Linked DNA regions of Nothobranchius furzeri. The protein of the gene in region 2 purifies or fractionates together with the protein of the main gene of each other region. This does not show direct contact. Links are inferred from orthologs where the notes say so. Each region holds a gene or a part of one and is shown on either strand. Other genes may lie near its edges.

Evidence for each region.
Region 1: the proteins of nploc4 (region 2) and faf2 purify together in Homo sapiens (affinity purification with mass spectrometry; 3 studies listed by BioGRID and IntAct, with this or other methods). This does not show direct contact. The link is inferred for Nothobranchius furzeri from reciprocal best matches to the Homo sapiens genes NPLOC4 and FAF2.
Region 3: the proteins of nploc4 (region 2) and aspscr1 purify together in Homo sapiens (affinity purification with mass spectrometry; 3 studies listed by BioGRID and IntAct, with this or other methods). This does not show direct contact. The link is inferred for Nothobranchius furzeri from reciprocal best matches to the Homo sapiens genes NPLOC4 and ASPSCR1.

What each region holds. Positions count from the first base shown.
Region 1 is NC_091742.1:44,984,458-44,992,158, forward strand, and holds the end of faf2 (FAS-associated factor 2), read right to left. Parts: intron 7,040-7,701; coding exon 6,971-7,039; intron 6,876-6,970; coding exon 6,741-6,875; intron 6,543-6,740; coding exon 6,466-6,542; intron 6,394-6,465; coding exon 6,255-6,393; intron 6,179-6,254; coding exon 6,093-6,178; intron 5,424-6,092; coding exon 5,332-5,423; intron 4,158-5,331; coding exon 3,980-4,157; intron 3,890-3,979; coding exon 3,718-3,889; intron 3,636-3,717; coding exon 3,492-3,635; intron 3,386-3,491; coding exon 3,203-3,385; 3' UTR 2,981-3,202; downstream 1-2,980. UniProt on the Homo sapiens protein: Plays an important role in endoplasmic reticulum-associated degradation (ERAD) that mediates ubiquitin-dependent degradation of misfolded endoplasmic reticulum proteins.
Region 2 is NC_091756.1:53,432,579-53,440,773, forward strand, and holds the start of nploc4 (nuclear protein localization protein 4 homolog), read right to left. Parts: upstream 4,658-8,195; 5' UTR 4,523-4,657; coding exon 4,508-4,522; intron 3,944-4,507; coding exon 3,863-3,943; intron 2,170-3,862; coding exon 2,060-2,169; intron 1-2,059. Other genes in the region: gastrula zinc finger protein XlCGF57.1, read left to right, coding at 7,575-7,692. UniProt on the Homo sapiens protein: The ternary complex containing UFD1, VCP and NPLOC4 binds ubiquitinated proteins and is necessary for the export of misfolded proteins from the ER to the cytoplasm, where they are degraded by the proteasome.
Region 3 is NC_091746.1:22,804,456-22,812,550, forward strand, and holds part of aspscr1 (tether containing UBX domain for GLUT4), read right to left. Parts: intron 6,556-8,095; coding exon 6,496-6,555; intron 6,358-6,495; coding exon 6,218-6,357; intron 5,587-6,217; coding exon 5,505-5,586; intron 5,427-5,504; coding exon 5,360-5,426; intron 5,089-5,359; coding exon 5,026-5,088; intron 4,738-5,025; coding exon 4,685-4,737; intron 1-4,684. UniProt on the Homo sapiens protein: Tethering protein that sequesters GLUT4-containing vesicles in the cytoplasm in the absence of insulin. Modulates the amount of GLUT4 that is available at the cell surface. Enhances VCP methylation catalyzed by VCPKMT.

The DNA of each region.
Region 1 (7,701 bases), on a different chromosome or scaffold from region 2:
CTTTTAGGAAGACTTGGGCTTTTTATTTCTTTGTTTGTGAGCCAAACCCAACACATATAGCCTACTGTTAAAGAATTCAGATCTGCCTTTTTATGACGTTGACAAGCACAAACCTGTTACGATTCCTGAGAATCCTTTGTCATTTCCACTTCCTTTTTAATGTTTATTTATTGGTTTTGTTGTTGAAGGACAGCGTGGCAGCACTAACAGTCCGGTAGCGGGCCAGGTCTTTGGCCGTGGGAATGGTGTTGCTTCAGTGCGAATGCTTGTAAGGAAAAATGTCTGAAGACAAAAGAATGTTGAAAGCCCTTAGTAGAAGTCACTGTTGCCGCACGGCAGCTTCAGCTGGAGCCCAGAGACACTGCTGAGGCCTCTTGTCCCCGCTCATGTTAAAATTAGAAAAAAATACAGGAAGTACTCGGGGTGGGAAAGGAACGAGCAACACATGAACTTTGCTTTGACTTGACTCTCCTGACTGCCCCGGTGAGCACTAACGGGCAGCTGGAGCCTTTGCTTTGATGTATCGAGGGTTCTTGCCTTTTCTTTGTTTTGTTTCAGTGAATGTGAGTCCTGGACGTGTGCCACCTTCAAGAGAAAAAAATAAGCCATTCAACGCGTTAGTTAACCCCACAGCTTTGAGAATTAACCTATGTGTACATATCTATTTGCTGGCATATATTGTATGTTAAAAAAATCACTCAGGGCCTCGGTATATAAAAATAAAGGTGAAATGGTAAGGATGCCATGAAAAGGGTATATCTGAATTTAGTTTGGTCGGTTTTCTTTAAATGATTTCATGTAATCAATGATATTCTGTTCTGTCTGAAATAGTAGATATTACACCGTATAAAGAGCGGCATGCAGGAAAAGAATAAGTATGTTAACGATATTCACTGAAAAAGACTCATTACCGTGTTATCCAGACCTGTTTACTTCTGTTCTTGTACTCAAACCCACATGTTCAGTTGTGGTCCCGTATCTAAACGTGCCACGGTGCACTCCTTCCTCCCGATTCACTCCTAGACCCACTTCACAGGTGTTTGCATGACTTATTACAGAGAAATAAAAGTAAAACAAATGTGTTCTAGTGGAGGATTATCTCAGTCTGGTGGGGACCTATTTAAAGGTGCACAATATGCATGCTTGTTAACCGGACCCCAACTGTTCTTTTTTATTCCTTTAGCTCTAGTCGGCTTTGGGTTCTGGAGGTTTGGATCCTAACGCTCAGCTGATAACTGCCATGCATTGTACTGCACACATTTGTAATAGAACTGAATGACTACAAGATTTTATGCGCTACGTTCATTTTATAGCGAGGGGGGGTAAGAAAAGGTCCGGAGAGCAGGAACTTACTGTTATTGCCCTGATGACTGAACGAGTACACGCTCTGAAACTACTGTAGTCTTCTCAAAAAGCCATAGTGACAAGGTGCTAGGTGTCGCTTTTAGGTATGAAACTCACGCGCGTGAATGCAATAGTTTGTCATGGACTTATGTATTCTTAAAGCATGTTGTACCAATACCCCTAAACGATGTCGGTGAAAGTTATTCTAGTTTAAGGGATTAAAAGAAAAGAAGAAAAAAAGAATCAAAGTGTTGTCATACTTATTTCAGTGTAGTAATGTATCTGCCTGTCGGGCTCTGTGTATGAATAACTAAAATGTATTGTTCACATATAGGTATCACAATGTTAGCACTGTTCTTTTTAAAGGAGATATTTAATTGACAGTATCATATAAAACTAAAGGAACCTCCCATTAAAGGCTAGGCAACAAGCTCATTTTAACGACAGTAAGAGTAATCCCAGCTTGTGGTGCACAGATGTTTTCCAATAAGCAGCTAGTTTATGTAGGGTTTGTGATCATTTGCTGTGTAGACACCATTTATTGTTTACCAATGATCTGGTTTGTGTTGTTTAGCAGTGGTGGGATGGTGGGTCCCCTCCGGAGAGCCAGCCTAGCCCCACCACCAGAGCCAGGGGCGTGTGTGCGGTTAGGCAGATGTTTGCTTTGGTACTTGCACATTTACAGTTACCTCATTGTTTTTGTTTTCCATGTTTGTACCCGTGGGTGGAGGGAGAAAACAACTAATATATATTATATAGGAAATGATGTCATCATTTCTTCATTCCATTGGAATCGTTTTGTTTGTAGCATTTAACACTAGTTGGTGTATTCTGTATACATCTGTATACTGTCTGAAATTTTTAAGATTTGTACTTTTTTTAAATGAAAGTTGCTAGTTATGCTTTACCAAGTAGTGCAATCATTTTTTAATTGTTGTGGCTGACTGGAGAGGGTTGTTCACTAATAAATGTATGATGTATACTCGCTACTCGGACCAGTGGCTGATTTAAAGACAAGTTCTCAAAACGAATCAAGAAAAAAGCTGCTTTTATATTCAATAAACCCACATTTTTAAAACATGTTTAATTTATAGTTGGAAAATTACATCTTTACATGAGCCCATTCAGATATTACAGGCAAAACAGGCATCTATGAGTAACCACAGGCACACTATGGGCAGACTAAACTACATAGAGCCACATGTAAAAGCTGTGGCCTTCGTTAAATATTGTACGTTTTAACTTCATGAGCTGGAGGCAGTCTGCTTTACATAGTAACAAACCTGCATTTGGTCGTTTCATGACGAGTCAAATAAAAACAATAGTGGGCATTTAAATATTTAACTTATGTACAAGTGATGGCTCATTTAAACAGGGTTCCCATCCTTTCAACTCTCGATCACAGCTGCTTCAGACTTGGACCGTGCTAGTTGTGCTTGATAATCGCTGTAGGGGTTGTGGGCTAAAGCATGAACCAAGAGAAACAGCAGGGAACTCCCCTCGAGTAACTAACAACCAGTCTTCCTCGGTTGTGACAGCTTGTGTGGGACGAGGAGGTTGTGCTGCAGCTTTAGTCTCACTGCTGGGAGGAGGATAACTGTTAGCTAACACCAACAACAGTTTCTCCACACAAGGAACCACTTCAAGAAATATTTATTTGATAAAATTCAAGACTGCAGGCTAATGGGAACCCTGTCAACACAAGTGAAGGAGCACTGGATGCAGGGTGGTTTAGTGATCCAGGTTAGTTTCTATAGCAACCATCCCTTCTGTAAAACGGCCATTTACCAAAACAAACCAAACAACATGGGTGGGTCAGAGATAAACGTGTCTCCATGTAGACGAGGTAAGTCATCTATTAGTCGTCCGTGAGGTCCTGAACAAAAACGACCTCGGAGCGACTGAGTCCTGCCTCCTTCAGCGTGGGGGGGTTGGGCTGCTCTGCAGTCGGAAGGCAGGGCAAGACTCGGCGAGGGAAGTTTGTCACGATCTGAAACTTCTCTGGAGTTTCCTTCAAAGAGAAAAGGAAGTCGTAGATTACCTGTGGAAGGAAGAAGAAACATGTAGATGTTTCATCACATGTCAGCGTCTAATAACCAAACATTGACCAGAGGCGTGTGAAGGAGACCAAAGACACCAGCGCTCACCGTCAGAGACTGAGCGAACAGGAACCGCCTCTCTACTCGTGTGTCGTTGGGCAACTTGAACACTATTTTAACACTTTCTGGATCATCAGCAGATGGTTCTGGAGGAAGGCACTCCGACTTCCTCTCCTTCTCCTCTTCTAGTGTCTGGAGTGAAAACAACAACAGGAATCAGACATGTAGGGGAAGACCAACGTATCCATGTACAAACGAAGACGACCAGACTCACTCTTCGTCTCCTCTCCTCTGCAAGAGCACTCTGTCGGACCTTTTCCTCCTCTTGCTTCTTCTGCTCCAGCTCCTCCCTTTTCTTCCTCTCCTTCTCCTGGTCGGCGCGTAAGGAGGCCAGGTAGGCCTCATCCTGCTGCTGCCTCAGCACCTGGGTCTGGTTCCTCTCCTCTCTGGAAACAACACTTCAGTCTTCACTCGCTGCTACTTCAGCTGTAGAGAATGTGACGACGGTCTCACTAACTCCAGCTGGTCTGACGTACCGCTCAAGGCGCTCTGACATCAGGTATGTCTGGTTGGCATCCATGATGAAGGTGACCTGATTGATGAGCTCCTCAGGCTGAATCAGACCCTCGAGCCGACCCACCACGGTCATCTTCCGGTCCTTTAGCATGATCATGGCCAGGAATGGGTAGGTGTTCTCCCGCAACGCTTGGGACACTTGGTATAGAAACCATTGTTACACAAAAGCCCAGTGGACTACCATTATTACCACGCTTCTGCACGGATCTTAATGTTTTTGTAGCCACTCAAGCTAACAGAAGAGTCCCTGTAGGACAGAAAAGCAGCACTAGCTTCTAGCTTTGGGGACTCCACATGGGTCTGAACTAGGGCTGGGCGGCATGGCCTACAACTAATATCACGACATATAGAGGATTTCACCTCGCTAGCGATGAACAGACTAGAACTACAGGTGTGTGCAGGAACAACAGTTGTCCACTAGATGTCACGTGTTCCAGGTTGAGTCACACTGGTATGCCACTGAAGGTGGTGCAGCTTCTTACAGGACATGAATGTTGCCAGCTCACACACATATTTCATGTTCTCATCTCATTCCTGAGACGGGAACAATTATCTCGGTAAGAGTGGATTTATTGCCCAGCCCTGGTCTCAACATGTTGTTTACCAGTGATATCAGAGTGTTTGTTGTTTTCAGAGCAGCCAGACTTACCCCAGGTTTCCACGGGAGCCGTCAGCAGCACGTTACTGCAGCAGCACGTCTAGCTGCTGCTTGGCCCTTCCCACGAGACGCGACGCAGCAGAGGAGCAGCTGTCACCGACAGGGCACGAAGTCACACGAGTGACTTCGTCAGTAAACACAACAACAAGCAGGAGAAAACTACAACATGGCTCCAAAATGTTTGTGTTTTTATATTCTGTCCGTTTTATAATCGCCGATACGGACCTGAAAAACAAAGGAGACCGCTAGCTAGGTGATAACTTCTCACGGGGCCGCACAGTTAGTAACCTTTTTTAAAGTAAAGCGACCGGAAGGCAGTACGTTCTTTATTCTGAAAATTTCGGGAGCTTCTCTCCATTTCCGCGTCCGATTTCCTGTCTTTCCTTCCCCAAAAATGTCGAACTTGACCCGTTTCAGAGGCGTCGCGCGTAGGAAATAGAACCGGCGCGTAAAGGCCGCGACATGCTGCTCCTGAGACGCGGCCGACTCGTGCTGCTGACAGCTGCTGACGGCTCCTGTGGAAAAGGTTCTGTTGACCACAGCCGTTCCTATCAGCAGCTATGACGTGCTGCTGCAGTAACGTGCTGCTGACGGCTGCTGTGGAAAGCCGGGGTCACACTGATAACAGATGAACGAATGAACGGGCATACACACCTCGGTAGCCCTCGGGCTTGCTGGTGGAACATGCCCAGAAGAGCATCCGTGTGTTGAGGAAGGTTATGACCTCTTCTGTACATAACGTGGAGCTGAGGAGCCACAGATCAGAGGAAAGGATGAATATGTTCACCTCATCTAACAGTTAAGGTGTGGTTCACTCATTAATCAGTGCATCTGCAGAGGTCTCTAGCAGGAATGAAGGCCTCGTACGTCACACTCTGTTTCAGAATCTAGAGAATGACCAGATCAGAGAACTTCAGACGACAGGATCTGGAGTCTTACTTCCTGATATTCGGACATCTCGCCTCTGATTGGCTAACAGCAACGCGACTTTACCACTTTGCAACTCAACTCAAACTTGGAGTTCTGCTGTGTGATGTAGTTGCTAACGCTAACGTAAGCTTCTACTAGCCGACACGTTCTCTGCTGTTTCCTGGACGCTAAACCAACAGCAGCCTTCCTCGTCGTGATTCCAGACGGGTGAGTGCATGAACGTTAGTGACATGGTGACGTAGATCTGTCAGGCTTTTCTAATTCTAGACTTTCACCGTCTAGATCTGTCAGAAGCTAATGCAGGACATAGGTGGAGGAACTTTTCATGTTCAGCCTGCATGAAAACCTCAGACCGATTATAATTAGAACCACACCTTTAAAACTATTGTATGAATAATCAGATTATATGCTGTGAACAGATGAGCACACACACGGTTCATTAGTGTACCGATGGTGTGAGATATGTTAAGGACAGAAAGGAATACCGGCAAAACTCGTCTGTGTCTTGATGGTCGTCCCCGTGAAGGTACACTAAAAGGTAGCGGAGCTCCCGTTTGGCATCATTCAGCGCCTGTATCAACACAACAAGCTGGGCGGTGAGCCTGCTGAACATCCCATAATAAGACACGCCTCTGACGTGAACTAACCTGGCTGTATGTCCCCTGGTAGAAGACAGGATGTGCCTGACCGTACTTTTCCTCAAAACTCTGAATGAAAGACACGACGTCTCCAACGGGGTCCGTCACGCGCCCACGAGGATCCGACCTGATGAACCGCAGGGCAAACCTCGAGGACACAAAAACAGCTGATTACTCTGGTGAATAGAACGATGACACACGACCAAAGTGCTCCGATTACCTGAATATATCCAGAAGTGTGTAATATGTAAATCTGAATGGCAGCATTATCAAGTAGTAACCCCATCCTAGCAAACCCTGAGAGGAAGAGCATGAAGACGTCACGAGAGCAAAAACAGAGTCACACATAAAGAAGTAAAAACTGAAATTAAAGGTATTAAGTTACCATAAAACATGAAGAGGAACTAGAGTATGGTTTTAGAAGGAGCAATTTAAGTAGATTTGTACTTTGACAGGAAGCAGTTTCCTGTCTGAGTGATGACATCACAGACCTACCCTGGGCTGCGGCCTTGAGACGATGTAACTATAAACTCTATGGTCTGCTGTGTTGACCTGCAGCGGCCTGGAGGGTGGAGGGTTAAACACACTGGGAACGCCTTCCTGCTCATTGAGTCTGTCTTGGACTGCAGCCTGAGAAAAGGGTAGAGAACACACACACACGGCGCTCAGCTCAGAGAATCCACACATGAGAATAGACGTTACGAAGCCAAGGGAAGCGGCTGCACCTCTATGTTCCAGTTGTGCTGCTCTAACGTTCGACGGCATTGGTCCATTGAGTCCAGACCCGTTAAGTCCTGTTAGACGTGAACACAAAGTCAGAGAGATGATCTAAAGTTCCTCCTACAGGCTGAAGAACTGCTTTAAAACCGTTCATGTTCCCCTCTGGTGGGACTGGCGGTAAACTCAATAGATCCTATAACTCGGGTCAGAACTCTCTCTCCCAAAGCATCAGCTGGTTTACCCTGACAGAGATCATCACGGCCTCATCTTCTGCGTGGACTCGATGTGCAGCACTACAAGGCTTCTTCTAGGTTTTAAACTTGGAAAATCCAGACTTGTCCCGACAGACTTTCTGTTGTTAGCTTGATTTTCTGGCCTCGTGAAGGCATTTGCTGCTAATGTAGACACCATGTCCAGGAGTGAATCTTCAGCAAGACACACACGTTATTACCTTTGCAGATCAACGCTATTAATCAACTATTAATGCCAAACTGAGGCTTTGGAACAACGAGTTCAACAGTAATCACATCTGATTAGGTGCTGACACAAGGCTGCACAAGCATCAACAGGGAAACTCGTGAAAATGTAAATATTAAAAACAAATAAACATCAGCTAATGCGTCAATGTAAATGTGAAAACAATCCTACTGAATCCTGGCCACAAAACATTCAGGGACAACAATCATCTGATTTTAATGTACTTAAACTGTAAAACGATGTTATTGTGTACAATTCT
Region 2 (8,195 bases):
TTTTAATCAAATGAATGGTTCTTATGCTTTGGGTAATTATAATGGATTAATGAATCCATACTTAAATAATGTTTGAGGATGTTTGTTACTGACCTTCACACACACTCAAGCACACAAACACTCACACACACCCACACACAGATTCTCACAGTAAACTCCAAACACATTTGCTGACGCACACATTTGCTTTGAGAAGAGAAAGGTTTTTGGTAAGTTTCAGTCTTGATTTCAGTTCGTGCTTGACAACGAAAGAGAGAGGACCTGAATAAACGCTAAAAGGGGGGAGCCGGTTGGCTCGTTTCTCCCCCCCCCCCCTCACGCTGTTCCTGTTAACCAGACAGGACAGCTGAATCGCAACTTCTAACGCAGACTCATACAGTGTCTTTGATTTCTGAGTGAATTAACTTAAGAAAACGCATCGACAAAACGCTTTACCATCAACATGTACCGAGGGCAACTCTGGACCGGTTCCGTTCGACACCTACGTCTCCCCTGTCAGCCGCTGGTGTCATCTGGATGAACCACCACCATCCTCCACGGCCCGGATCCGAAAGAGGGTCCACAAGAGTTCGGTGAGACAGAGCACGGTGTTTAGCGTTTGATGCAGTTCTCTGATAAGACCTAAGTTTATCCAAACCATCACTTCACTCAGACACCTGTTCTTCCTGAAGCAAAATCAGACTCACACACGCATTCATATCACAACATTCTCAATCTTCATAAATTCACCACAAGGTCTATTTGATCATATCAACTGTTAAAGATTGTCCCACAAGTTGCCAATGTTGATTGTTATTTCCTGTTTGTCAATTTCAAAATCATTAGTTTAATTTGAAGAATTAAAACTTTTAATTGTCAAACTGGTTTCCTCATTGAACTGAAACACAGACACACAGATATTATCGTCAGTTTATCGATGAAAACAACCTTTGAGTCTTCATAACAATATAAAATTTGGTTATTGATTTATTAAAATTAATAATCCGAATTAATACGTAGCATGGTTCCTCTTTCATAAAAGAGCCTAAAACCATAACGCTACAAATATGGCTGAGACAAACCAGTTTCTCCTACACCTTTAAGCGCCAAAGTTGCAATACTGCGACAAGTGTCATTACTGACTTTAACGATCCACAGCTACAAATACAATCCCTCATGAAATTATTACTTACACCAGAAGATAGTGGAGATATGCAACTTCAGGCTGAGCTATATTTATGAGTGTGTTTATACTGAAAGTTTCAGAGTTTATAGGGTTTGAAAACTGCCTCCCGCTAAGAGGTTACCGGTTGGGGAGAAGACGAGTGCACAAAGAGGGTGAATGTTAGAGGGATAAAACTTGTGATTTCCGGCAAGTCTGGTCTTTGTTGACTGATATCTTTGTCTGGTCATGACTGAGTCCGATTATGAAGCAGAATATCGACTCTGATGAAGAAATTCACTCATCCAGCCGCAAAGATTGACGCTGCTGAACAGCTAGTGCTACACTTACAAATTCCAAACGTTGGGTTTGACGTTATATATATATATATATATATATATATATATATATATATATATATATAAAAGATAAACAATGAAATTTAAATTTCAAAGAAATTCATATATGTATATATAAATTGAAAAATTCAAAATATGACATTTTCTAAATACCATGAAAAAATAAGAAGGAACATCTGTAAAAATGATGCATTCCAATACGGCAGCCCGATGACGTCATATTATGCAAATTAGAAGAGTGAATTTTGGTCCTACTGAAAATGTCTCTCATTTACAGTTTACCTTTATCTCTAACCATTTCCGAGCTACAACCTTTTGAAAAAGTCATGTCAAAATTGAACAGCTTCCTGAAAAAACTCTGGCGCCTAAATGGTTAGTATATGGTTGTAGGAAATCACTTTTGAAATCAGGGTGTTGTCGTTTAAAATAAAAACTGCAATGTTTTTAGTAAAACGTGCATTTATGAATTTACTTTCCATGTAAAAATGTGTTGTTTTCCACAGATGTGGCACAACTGAATGCTGAAATTCAAACCCTTATGATTTCCAGTTTAACTCACTTGATCTTTAGCAGACTGAGGGTTTTGTTCTGAGACACAATCTCTCCGGTCTTGTTGCGGTTTAGATAAACAGAGAACCCATTGGAACTGAATCCAAACTCTTTGGCCACCTGTAGGAGACATAAATGATCACATACCGTTGTAAAACCTTAAAGTTGGTTAATGTATTTAATAGTCTGTTCTAGACACCTGCTGAGTGAAGGCTGCTTGTGATTGCTACAGATCACTCAAAGCAGATTAATCAAAAGTTTTTGAGGTGTCCAGCTGGTTTGCAACAACTGATGAGTACACTGAGCAGGTTGGAGGTCCTGCATCCTAATAACATCCCATCATTTAGGAAATCTATCTGGATAACATCTTAACTAGCATATTGTAAAAAAATAAATAAATAAAATAAATCTTTGAGATCAGGATGGACAAAAATCACAAGAGGCTGTTGACGCCACTATGTTTAAATAAATCCCATTCATCATCTCTTTCAACAGCTAACCTTCAGTGCCCAAACCATATAAGCCCCCCCCCCCCCCTCCCAACACACACACACTTGTGTTTTTCTTTTCCACTGATCAGGGACAAAGATCTGCTCCTCCCATTGATCTGAAAACTACACTCTCCTGCGGCAACACAGTAGCATGCATTTTTAATTAGATAGTGCTGCAACGCTGCTGGAATTCTGATCTATTTCAGGCTTTCAAAGCCAACGCTTTTAATTAAACTCTTATTATTGTGGGTGCTTAAGTCAATCAGATAACTAAATAAAACCAGAAGAAAATTAAAGGCCAAGTTGTGGTAGTTACCAAATATGTCAATCGGTCTTAAACTGTGTGAAATGTCAGCACTAGTAAATTAAACCCCAAATTAAACCTGCCCTGTCTAGCATCAACTGGATTCCCTGAATGGAAATTTCCCCACAAGCCTTTTGTCAATACCCGGAAGCCATGAAAGCTCACAGGAGCTGTGCAGGACAGACCTGCTCTGGTACTCTCTGCATATCTTTAGTCAATTTATCTTAGTCTGTGTTTGTGTGTGTGTGTGTGTGTGTGTGTGTGTGTGTGTGTGTGTGTGTGTGTGTGTGTGTGTGTGTGTGTGTGTGTGAGATTACAGGCTTGCCTGTAACTCACGTGTTTGGTAAAATTCCAAATGTTTGCCAGCAATAATTACTAAGTGATTGTTTAAAAAAGCGTAGCATGCTTGTTTATTCATTTTGACTTGTGTTTTTGTGCTGCAAAATCTTATATCCACTGAATCCAAATGAAATGAATAAGCATAGGTTGTAGATTCGAGCCCTGCTCAGTCTGACGCTGTTGTTGTGTCCTTGGGCAATCACTCAACCAACCTTGCCTGTTGGTGGTGTTCGGAGGGACCGGTGGCATCTGTATGGCAGATTTGCCTCTGTCAGTGTGCCCCAGGGCAGCTGTGGCTACAATGTAAGTGTGAATGTGTGTGTGAATGGGTGAATGACTAATTTTTTTGTAAAGCATCTTGGGGGGTTCCAGGACTCTAGAAAGCCCTATATCAAATATCAGGCCATTTACCATTTACCAACCAATGTCATGGGACTTACTGACATTATGTGTTTGCAAAAACAGTGATTTGGTCAGATTATGTCATTTAGCAAGAACATTTTATCCAGTAAAAAAAAAGTTAGCCAATTGAAAATCGGTTACCAAATATTTATCCACTTATTTATACTGTATAAAGACAATTGTGATTAAAATCTAGTTTGTTTCCATTTTGCCACTAACAACAAAACACTACACACGTAAACACCAATGAAAATTATGTGTATGTTAACTTGTTTACCTTCTTTAGAAAGGCAGCTGCCGTTTCTCTCTTGGTGGAAGCAATTTTCTTCATCCCATCTGGGGACTGAATCCTGACTATCTAAAAAAATAAATAAATAAGGCTTAAGTTAAACTTTTGTCTGAGTTTCAGCTAATCATAAAACCAGGATGTCCCAGAGTTTCGGAATGAAAATCAGTGAATCAAAACATTTACATTTCTCCAACTTTTGTCCCTCTCAGATGACAAGGACAATGAAAAAGGTAGCGTTAAAGCTTGGTTATACGACTGAGTTTATTAGAAAGTATTTTAAATCTATAACACGGAGATTAAACTTATCTGATACTTTTTGTTGGTTTGTATACAGCCAACTGATTATGTATCTCTAAAATTACAATAACACTCATATAATGAGCAGACGATAAAATACTTATTCACTCATTTAATTTATTATTGAAACATCTAGGCTCAAAAGGCTTTAAGGTTTACAGCAGACCTGTTTTAATCAGGATATCGTAAGAAGGAGCTAAGCTCGGCCAGTTATCTGCACAGGCCGCAGTCACTCTGTGCTAACGTTAGCTAACAAAGCTAATTCTGCTGCCTCATCCCGCAGGACTCCGGCTAGCTGCCGTTAGCACCATTAACACCACAAACTATTATACTTACTATATTATCCGCCATGTCGCCTAACTGAAAGTCACTGGTGTACGTCCTTGTGCTGATAGACAAAAACTACAAAAGTCACGAAGCGTTACTGGCTGACTGTCAGCGAAACTCCATCACAGAACTCTAACACCGGTGTAGCACACTATAGTGTCCGACAGTTCACCCCGGCTGAAACAAGTGAGCCTGAAAACATGGGTTCCAATTTGTGTCTTTTTTTCGACAACCATTAATTCAATCTGTCCAGTGATTTTTATTCTAAATATTTTCTGTTTAGTTTAGTCATTCACAGGCAGTGAATTTAATTGTATTTGGATTCAATTGGAAACTGTGAAAGAGAGCGGAAAGTAAGAAGGAGGACAGCAATCAAAAACGCACATCATTTCAAGTTGCACGTAATAACATTTTGCAGCATGCAACAAATAGTTTGGGTGGTAAAACAGTAAAACTTAAAACAGACAGGACTTATCAGAAAGGTTATGTGAAATGCATACGTGTAGGAAAATGAGCACCAAAATATTTTAACAAAAAGATACAGAAACACTGATTGGGCAATTAGTAATTAACCCATAGTACACAGTAAAAACTGGTTAAAAACGTTGAAACACAGTACAATGTCTCTCCATTTACAGCAATGAATGTGGTATTTTCCCAGATGGAAAATCATATTCATCATATCCGAAATATTAACTTGCAAGTCAGTAACAACAGAACATGTTAACAAATAAATTCTGAAGGTTAGGAATATTTAGACTCAGCCACTCCATATTAGCAAATCAAAACTTATTAGAAACAGCGCAGTCAAAAAGAGGTGATCTTCTAATCTAAGGTGTTAAGCATTTGAACCATTTATGGAAGAAGATAGTAAGATGAAATACTGTGGTCAAAATTGGTTACCGCAATCACTATCTTACTACTGTCTCGTGAGTTTCATGGTTGTTGCAGTTACGGATCATCAGCACCAGAAGATTCTAACAAAGACTAATCATACACAGTTGATAATATTGTTATATCTGGTGATAGCACTCTTGGGTGTTTTACATTGGGGAGCATTTGCTTATACACACCCAGCATTGTTTTATGTTTTGTATGAAAACACATGTAGAACTAATGTGCATCACTAAATTGACTTAATCGAACCAGACACAAACTAGAGCAGAGGAAAAATGCCTGTAAGTTTAGCAAGCTTCAAATCCTTCTTGCAGAAAGAACAACCATAAATCTTGCCATATGGTACGCTGAGATTTGGGGTGACATATATGCAAAGTGCCAACATCTGATTTGTAGTCAAAGTAATTACAATTTTTTTTTACAAACTGATAAATCTCAAAGAACGTGACAGGCGTGGTTGAAACACTTGCAGTGGTGGCTTGTTATCGTGCTCTGAGGACGTGCACTGATAAAAGTCAGATCGAATCTTAAAGTTCTCACTTTTCTCAGAATAAATCATCAAGGCTTAAATTAAATGATTTCAACTGGTTTTAAAAGAGTTTGGCTTGTTATAGAAGGTTCTTTAGCACCAACCTGTCCAGTTACTGGTGAACCTGCTTATGAGCAACAGTTGTGACACAGAGAGAGAGATGACTCTGAGGAACATCACAGACTCTCACCCTGAGCAGCTTTAACCCTTGAGTCTTTATTGTTACAGCATTTTCTCCGCCATGTTCTTCTCTATACTCTGTGCTGTTCACTGTCATTTCCCAAATCTCCCGTCTGGTTTCATGGTCTTGGTCCTGTCCACAAAGATGCGCGTAATGGCCAGCACAGGCTATGTGTCTTAGGCAACCAATGCTATGTAACATCCTTGTAGTCCAGTGGCTAGAGTACCTGCCTGGTCACTTTAATCGCTGGACTACTAAGTCAACAGAAGACTCTAGGTCCATTTTGTCAGAGCGAGCATAGGCGGAGCTTCACTGAAACAGACCGTTTCAGTTCCGGGTATATATTCAGGCGAACAAAAAAAAACCCCCCTCATATTTAAGATAAATTACATCTCAATAATATTTGATCATATATTGAGCTTACCTTTGCTCTCAAAGGCATAAAATAGCACAATCTGGCTCCTTTAAATGACATTTAAATTTTAAGGTGATCCCCCTTTATTCTGAGTGATCAAAGATGACAATATTCAGCAGAAATGTGCTTGCATGCACTATGTAACCTATGTGGTTTACTTTGATGACAAGCTTTTTTTCTTGTACCTGACTATGTTATATATTTTTTATTTTTTTATATGTGAAGTGCTTTGTGGTTTTTACCTTGAAAGATGCTATGCAAATAAAGCCAGGTGTTGAGGCCTCCAGTTCTAGTTGCCTGCTCTGTAGCAGGAAAGTTGGAGAACTGATCTCATAAACAGCCAAATCAAATAAAGTTTGATTTTATGGAAAACCTCATTACCATCATTTTCAAATGAGTTAAAGTGTTATCTTTGTTTAATCAACATATTAGAGAGTTTTAAAAAAAGCAACAGTCCTTAAAATTCTCTATGTTAGAATATTTACTGACATTCTGAAGTAAGTACATGCACAGCATAAACAAAATTAAAACATTTAACATTGATTTCAAATAGCTGTGTTTTTAATTTTATTTGTGCATGTGGGATTGAGGGTATGTTCTCTGTATGTGTGGTAGTATTTTAATAATAATAATCAAAACAATTCAATTAAAATAAAAATGTTTTCCTCCGCAGGAGCCAGAAGTATGGGTTGTTAGTTCCTCAGACTTTGTAAGGGTCTGAAAGACTGATGTTGTGCTTCTTGTTTTACCCGTTTCCAGTTCAGTCTTGACAAAGACCCTACTGATGGGTTGTCTCCAGTAGATGGCAGCAGTGAGTCACCACAAAGGCAATCCAAGTGTGCGTCTGAGCAGATGCCTGATCAAAATGTAACAGAGCCACGTACACACGGTCTAGTTGTTAAAATGAATTTTAAAAAAGGACAAGCAGTTGCACTTTTTCCAGTTTTCAAAACAAACAACCTGCTATAAATATTCACGGTGTGGGGTGATCGGCAGTGATGGATTTAGGCACAGATCGTATTTAACGACGCAGATTGTTTTAGTGTCCAACATCATGAAAGAAGTAGATCTTCAACGCAACACCTCTGAAAGTCAACTTCTAGAGAAGAAACAAGACATTAATTCTGTCGTTGCTCCTCAGCAGAAGGATGTTCTTATAAAGCAAACATCTGGTGGGTAAAATCACAGATTTAATGAGTCTTTAAGAGAAGTAAGAGAAGAAAACAGCTAACTGTTAGCTTAGCTTAACGATGCTAAGAGAAGCATTCAGATAAACAAGAGCTCGTCTTTGTCGTTTATTTTAATATAAATAGTTCATAAATGCTCGATTTTTTATTCTTTAACATTCGTCCAATCTTTAACACCTACAATAACTTGTTGACAGCTAGGAAAAGCAGCAAGTGTCGCCCCAGATCATTATCAGCGCACACAGTAGAATTATGAGTTATTTTGGTGTCGTGATTAAACCCTCAACTCTTTTTGTTTCCTGGTTTGTGCCACATGATCATCCCTCTACCATGTCCTCCTGCCTTTATGTTCTTTTAACGAAACTTTAGGCAAACATCTGGAGATCATTTCCCAGAGCAAATGAGAAGAGAAAATTGCTGGTTCACTCAAACTAAAACAACCATGTTGAGGCTGTGCAGTTTTTCTAAATTTATGAGGAAATCATGTC
Region 3 (8,095 bases), on a different chromosome or scaffold from region 2:
ATTCATCAGTCCATCATACCTCCTTCCAGTCTTCAGGAGTCCAATGGCGGTGTTTCATGGCCCAGGCAAGCCTCTTTCTCTTATTCTGACGACTTAGCTGTGGCTTTCTTGCTGCAACTCGTCCTGTCAAACCTACAGCTCCAAGTCTTCTCTTCACAGTTGGAACTGAGACTTGCTCACTACGACCACTATTAAGCTGTGCTCGAAGCTGTTGTCCTGTGAGCCGCCTATCAGCTGTTAACTCTCAGAAACTTGTCCTCTGATGCAGTCGTGGTGTTGGGTCTACCAGACCTCTTCCTGTCAGAGTTTGCCCCAGAGTGCCTTGTGATGGTGAAGGAAACTGTACTCACCGACACCTTGAGTTTCTTTGTAGTTTCTCTGTAGGAAAGACCTACATTTAAGTGTTATGATGGTCTGCATCTCTTCCATTGTTAATTGCCTTTTTCTCTGTTTTTGTAGCAACACACTTTCTGCAGTACAATACTGTTCAACTGATGCTCACGAGGGTGTGGTACCACAGTATGTTCCAACACTGCTTTTATGCAGACAGAGGGGATTGGAAGTAATCCAGAACACCTGTGGGAATTAGCAGCACCAGCTTTCAAAGCTTGATCAACCTCCATTGCTGCAGAACAGCCGTGTTCCCTGAAAAAGGCTGTTTTGTATCATCCTGAAATGTGCAATATTCTTCAGTTTTGAGTAACCTTACCTTTCTTTTAACCTCTGGCAGTTCACCACTTAACTTTGTACCATTTCAAGCTACTTATTGGACTTGAATGACTTAAACTGCAATAAATAAGTGGAAAAATTGAGGCGTTCTAAAACCTTTGACCGGTAGTGTACGTCAGTATGTTGTAATGAATTAATCTAATTTACAAGTTTCACATTCTGAATGGAATTACTGAAGTAAATCAACTTTGTCCTGATATTGTCATTTTATGATCGGCACCTGTTTGTGTAATTCAGAGTGAAAGATTAGAAAGTAGCTTTATAGTCCTGTTCAGGGACCCATGAGCCGGAAGGGGAGAAACCTTAGACTCACGGTAACTCCAACGTTACTGCGCTGACCGACCTAATGGCCCCCTACTGATGAGCCACCACAATGCTGGCATAAAAATCACAAAGATATTGAAATATCGATCTAGAAATGCTGGCTATTAGTGATTTAAAGCAACACTAAAGAGATTCGACCACTTAAGCTATTGCTTTGAAAGTGGATTTCAGTGATTGTTGGGCTAGTGGCCTGAGCAGCTTCACATGGGACAGCACTCTGCTGCCCTCTGCTGACCAGAAACTGTACTTAACAGTTTAGTGGTTTGGGTGAGAACACTAGTTGGAGGTCTCCATCTGCTTTATGCCAATAGCTGTTTACTGAGCTGGTAGCTCATATAAAGGCTAGCTTTTTTAGTTCACCGACCATCAATCAAAAGCACTGCAGCGTGGCCGAGGCCATGTATTTCTGCATGTGCTAACAACTGCGCCACTGCATGGTGGCGCAGTTGTTAGCACTGCTGCCTCGCAGCACGAAGGTTGCAGGTTCGAAACTCGGCTACAGCCTTTCTGCATGGAGTTGCGTGTTCTCCTCATGCATGCGTGGGTTTCCTCCGGGTACTCCGGTTTCCCCCACAGATCACAACATGGCCTACAGGTTATAAATTGTAAGTCGCTTTGGATAAAATTGTCTGCCAAATAAATAAACGTAAACATTTCAATAAAAGGTACCTTTCTGCAATGACACAGGGTGTGTCAAGCTGACACCAGGAGGTGTCGATTATGAATATCACTTAACTTGTCCAGTGGCCTTATCTACAAGACTTTTATCCAACACCGTTTAATAAAAGCTATCGTATATTTGTCTCGTGAAATGATTCTTTAGTTTACAGCTTAAAAACAAGGCCACTGGACAAGTTAAGATATATTTATAATCAACACCTCCTGGTGTCAGGTTGACATCGAAATACATGACCTCGGCCACGCTACAGCACGATGAGAGGAAGGATTTAGTTTTTTTTAGTTGGCATCATGGTGGAACCTGGAAGTAAAAGTGAGAAAGTAATGTCTGTGGAGGTGAAGCAAAGAGCTGAAACCAGAACGAAGATTGGCGCAGCCTAGTTTTAGGGAGCTAAAGGAGGCTACGACATCACAAACTGATGGTGACCTGGCTTTGTTGCTACTGGACTTGTAGGTAATAATATATGTGGACGTATTTACTTTGTGGTTTATTTAGTATAAGTTGGCTCATGTTAGCGTTAGCAACAGCAGGGTTGTTTATGACAGTTGTAATTCCACTTTCAACCAGTAGGAAGGAGAAGCAGGAAGCTCTTCTGCGTCAAGTCGTTTTAGAACAATCTGCAGCACAAACAGGCCGGTTGTTGCTGGGGTCAGATGAGTTTACACCACAACCTGTCTCACGCTCGCCATCCTCACTCTGTCCTTTTGTGTAGCTGGATGCTAAATGGGGACGCAGCAGCCTAATTGCTATCAACGTAGCTCTGTGAGCAGGAAACAACGTGCTACAGTGGAACATCGGGAATGCCAGCAATCCTGTTCCCTCTGGCTGCAGAACTCCGGATAAGACGAGCTGATGAGACCAGAGTGTGTGTGCGTGTGTGTGTGAGAGAGGGAGAAAGAGTGTGTGTAGAAACACACAAGTAAAAAGAGAAAGAGGCTGAACAGATCCTGGTGGAAGATGGAGGGGCAGACGGGTGAGGGAGGGGACGCTGGTATCAAAGACTTCTGGATTGGGAAACATTCCTTTCCTGACATGACACAAAGTGATTAAAGTTAGTGTGTTTGTGTGCGCCTAAAAGAAAGACATATGCAGCCATGTATGCGTGACATGACAAGAGAGAGAAGATGAAAGGTTCCTCGTGTGTTCCATGTTAAAATTTGAGGTATAGACAACAAAATAGTGCCAGACAGTTTGTGAGTGTTTGAAGTGACACTGCGGGATTATGGATTTTGTTTTTGTGCACGTTAACGCTTTCAGGTCTCTGATGGATGGAGACACGGGGGTGAGAGGAGGGGGAGGCACAGGACAGAGACATCATCTGGGTGCTGCAGGCGAAGGACGCTCAAAAAGATGGAGTTGGGGAGAAGGAGAGGGAGAGGTAAAAGAAGACGGGACGATGAAGAACAAAGAAAGATGAGAAACATTCATCAGAACGTCTGATTGGACCGAAACGAACACCGACGCAGACGTTTGAACGTGTGCTGTTATGGTCTCCAGGGTTGTTATCCTCTGAGGACTCAATCTCTTCATCATCATCATCATCATGACACAAACCCCAACCCCACTTTTCAGGTCCAGATTCAAAGGAGGATGATGACAAACACGTTCCTTTGTTCTTAAAAAACACAACAACTATAAAACCTTAAAGAAACAGTTTTATTACTAAGTTTCACTGGCTGTGTGTGTGTGTGTGTGTGCGCGTGTGTGTGTGTACTTCAAAGCGAGGACATGTTTTTGGTCCTCACTTCTTTAGTATGTTTTAGAGGTCTAGTGTGAATGAAGTTTTAGTTAAAGAGACAATATGTAGTTTTTACTAAATCATTTCTGGATTCAAAATGTGCTGAAAAAGAATGAAATGATGCCCAGTTGTTGAAAAATATTGGCAGTTTTGTGACATATAACCATAAAAATCAGGTCTAAAATACATGGGAGTGGGTCTGTTCTACGGGAGCCCATGAGGACAAAGTGTATTTACTGATTTGTAACAAACGATTACAACCTGTTGTTGTTTTACACATTCATCTCTTCACCTGTTACCACTGATGAAAGTGTCCGATGTGCTCGTTATTTTGCTGAAGTTAGCACTCCCTGGGGCTTTTTGACCCTAATGGGCATCCCTTGGTAAGGTCTTACTCCGACAAAAAATTTCTGCTTGCTTGCAACGATTTAGGCATCTACCTCCCTTATCGCCAGGGAAAATACTCCGTCACTTTAAGGTTAGGGTACGGGTTAGGCATGGTGGAGTCACAAAAATGAACAGAAGTCAATGGATGGTCCTCACTATGACAAAAATACATGTGTGTGTGTGCATGCGTGTGTGTGTGTGTGTGCATGTCTCCTCTTCAAAGCACACCCTCCCCCTGCCGGCTCCACTGTCCTTGACCCCAGCTGGGCTTGATTTTTCCCAGACTGGCACATGGGGTTAATACAGGCATCGCTTTGATCTTCTCTCTTTTTCACACACACACACACACACACACACACACACACACACACATACAGACACACACACACTCACACAGACACAGTCACACACACACACACACAGACACAGTCACACACACACACACACACACACACACACACACACACACACACACACACACACACACACACACGTATTTATATGTTTGTGTGGACCTCCATTGACTTCCATTCATTTTAGTGACTCCACTCTGCCTCACCCTAAGTTAAACTTAATACACACCAGATCTCTAAAACCAGCTGGTAAGCTTTTAAAAAAGCGACGACCAGAAAAATATCCTCATTTTGTAGGGAAAACAGTCCTCAGTATGTAGTATGTACAAGACACACACACACACACACACACACACACAAACAAAGAAACAAACAAACAAACAAACAAACAAACAAACACACATACACACACACACCTGATGGTTTTCTTGCATTCTGAAATAATAATGATCACCTGAGTCCCCAGAGACTCACCTGTAGGAGCGTTGCTGCAGGATCATTTAGGATCACTTTAGGGGGGGTGATGACTGTAAAAAGAAATAAATACTCAGAAGACGATCCTTACTTGACCTAATGACAAAAGGTTAAACCTGAAAGTTAATCTTCATTTTCATCTTAATCCATGTTTCGGTCATCGTTTGATCAACGTTTACTTCCTTTAGAAGTGGATTTGTTGGTTGAATGAAGAATAATAAAATTAAATATGAAGCATAGTGGAAAAAGTGGCAACATTAAAGTGAATCTGATAGGAGCACTGGTGTTTGAGACTTGTAATGCGATGGATGGCAGGAACTTCAGCAAGACAGAACACTTACACAGGTAAAAACTGACTCTAGGATCCTCCAGGTGACTCCTCACAAACTGTTTCACCACACCAACTGGGCAGAAGACAGAGAAAATCAGCTGGAGCATTACAAACCACACCAAGCCTCCGACGCTCGCCGTGCCGACTGTAGATCACGTTTCAGAAGGAATTCCCCTCTAATTTGTTGTTCTGATGCCTCTAATCCCTGGAATTATAGACTCGTCTGCTTCTCTCGGTCTCCGTCACTCCGCTGCAGTCATGAATGTGGTGAAGAGCCACGAGAATGTTCCACATTGCAGCCATACCTGTGGCTAGCCAGGTGAAATGAACACACAAACACACACCTGTCTCAAGAGGCCTGAAGAAGCCCTGCAGAACATGTCTGTCAGGAAACTGGACCCTCAGGACCACCTGGAGAAGCAGAGGTTATTTATAGAGCGGAGTGGTTTAGATGAAAGGAATGTGATTGTGTCTGAAAACAGAACTCACTTTCGGATATCGCTCGATCTTCTCTTTCATCCGAGTCTCTCTCATGGATTTAGTCATGAGTGGCGTCTCCTCTAATGACTTCCTAAAGAAACGAGAGACAAACAAACAGGTTCAAATGTCGTTTGTTTGTTTGTGAGAGGATGAGCGGCGCTGGATCTCCTGCCTCGCTCGTGTGTGGCCATGTATTCGTGTTGCGCTTGTCAGAGGCAGACAGATTGCTGTGGTCGGCTTCATTCCAGCCTCAGTAATTGCAGTCATTGACATGGTAGCAGCGTCGCTAAGAGGCAGCCTGCTAAGTTAATGTTGACAGAGATTAAAGGCTGAGCGTGATGAGGTCCCAACCTGACAGAGTTCAGTCAAAGACTAGAAGATCTGCACAAAACAGTCCAGCTAATTGTTCCCAGTGTGCAGCCTGTGGAAGCCTTTGTAGTGTGTGTGGTGTTTCATAAAAAGCATGAATACAAACACACAGAGCAATCTTACATGCATCTGCTTTAAAGAAGCACACATAATTAGATGAAAGCTTCAAACTAATAATAAATAAAGAACCAGCAGTGATGCCTGGCGTACTCCCATCACCGCTTTGGTATTCAACAATTAAAGGTTAAATATTCACTAAACACAGCAGGACGGCACGCGAAGCTGAGAAAGAATCAGATTCAAACTGAGAAGAACCACACGACGACTTTTAAAACAAACTTCAATCCAGCCACCTCTCGCTCTTCAGCTGGGCAAAGCGCTTTCGCACGTCATCCACCGTCACTTCAAAGAACTCGTCAGGCAGATCTTGGTTGACCTCGGTGTGACGGGACGAGGAGTCCAGGTGATAGATCAGAGGCTCCCTCTCAATTGGCTGTAGACAGAAAGTGTGTCTACGTTAATGTGCTACACTCAAACACCACAGTTATGGAAAGCGGTGATTATTGACATGTTTCTGATCAAGAGAAGCTAACAAACACAGCAGTTTCTGAGGAGATCTGAACAAGTTTACCTCCAAATATTCCTCCATGTGGTCCATTTCCTTATCTTGTATGATAGCAGCTCCTATAAACTGAAAAAAAAGACACATCATTGATTAATTTGGCCAAGGAGGACGCGTTACATAAGAGTAGAATAATGTCTGTGAACCATAACGTACGAGTAACATAATGTCTGTGAAGCATAACGTACAAGTATCACAATGTCTGCGACGCGTTACATAAGAGTTGCGTAATGTCTGCGAAGTGTGATGTAAGAGTAACGTAATGTCTGCGACGGCGTTACATAAGAGTAGCATAATGTCTGCAAAGTGTAATGTAAGAAAATTGTAATGTCTGTGACGCGTTACATAAGAGTAGTATAATGTCTGCGAAGTGTAACGTAAGAGTAACGTAATGTCTGCGACGCGTTACATAAGAGTAGCATAATGTCTGCAAAGCATAATGTAAAAGCATTGTAATGTCTGCGACGCATTACATAAGAGTAGCATAATGTCTGCAAAGCATAACATACGAGTATTGTAATGTCGCTGACGCGTTACATAAGAGTAGCGTAATGTCTGCAAAGTGTCATGCAAAAGTATCATAATGTCTGCAACGCATTACATAAGAGTAGTATAATGTCTGCGAAGTGTAATGTAAGAGGAACGTAATGTCTGCGAAGCATAACGTGTAAGTATCACAATGTCTGTGACGCATTACATAAGGGTAGCCTAATGTCTGCGAAACATAACCTACAAGTATCACAATGTCTGCGATGCGTTACGTAAGAGGAACATAATGTCTGCGAAACATAACGTACGAGTATCGTAATGTCTGCGACGCGTTACATAAGACGAACGTAATGTCTGACATATTACATAAGAGTAGCATAATGTCTGCGAAGCATAACGTACGAGTATCGTAATGTCTGCGACGCGTTACGTAAGATGAACGTAATGTCTGCGAAGAAATAACGTACGAGTATCATAATGTCTGCGACGGGTTACATAAAAGTAGTATAATGTCTTTGAAGTGTAATGTAAGAGTATCGTAATGTCTGTGACGCTTTACATAAGAGTAGTGTAATGTCTGCGACGCGTTACATAAGAGTAGCATAATGTCTGCGAAGCATAACCTACAAGTATCACAATGTCTGTGACGCGTTGCGTAAGAGGAACGCAATGTCTGCGAAACATAACGTATGAGTATCGTAATGTCTTGCGACGCATTACATAAGACGAACGTAATGTCTGATGTATTACATAAGAGTAGCATAATGTCTGCAAAGCATAACGTACGAGTATCGTAATGTCTGCGACGCGTTACATAAGACGAACGTAATGTCTGTGACGTATTACATAAGAGTAGCATAATGTCTGCGAAGCAAGGCAGAAGCGCCTTGTGATTTTTATCTTGAGAGGCGCTATAGAAATGAAACTTTCTTCTTCTTCATAACGTACGAGTATCGTAATGTCTGCAACGCGTTACATAAGAGTAGTATAATATCTGTGAAGTGTAAAGTAAGAGTAACGTAATGTCTGTGACGCGTTACATAAGAGTAGCATAATGTCTGTGATGCGTTACATAAGAGGAACGTAATGTCTGTGATGCATTACATAAGAGGAACGTAAT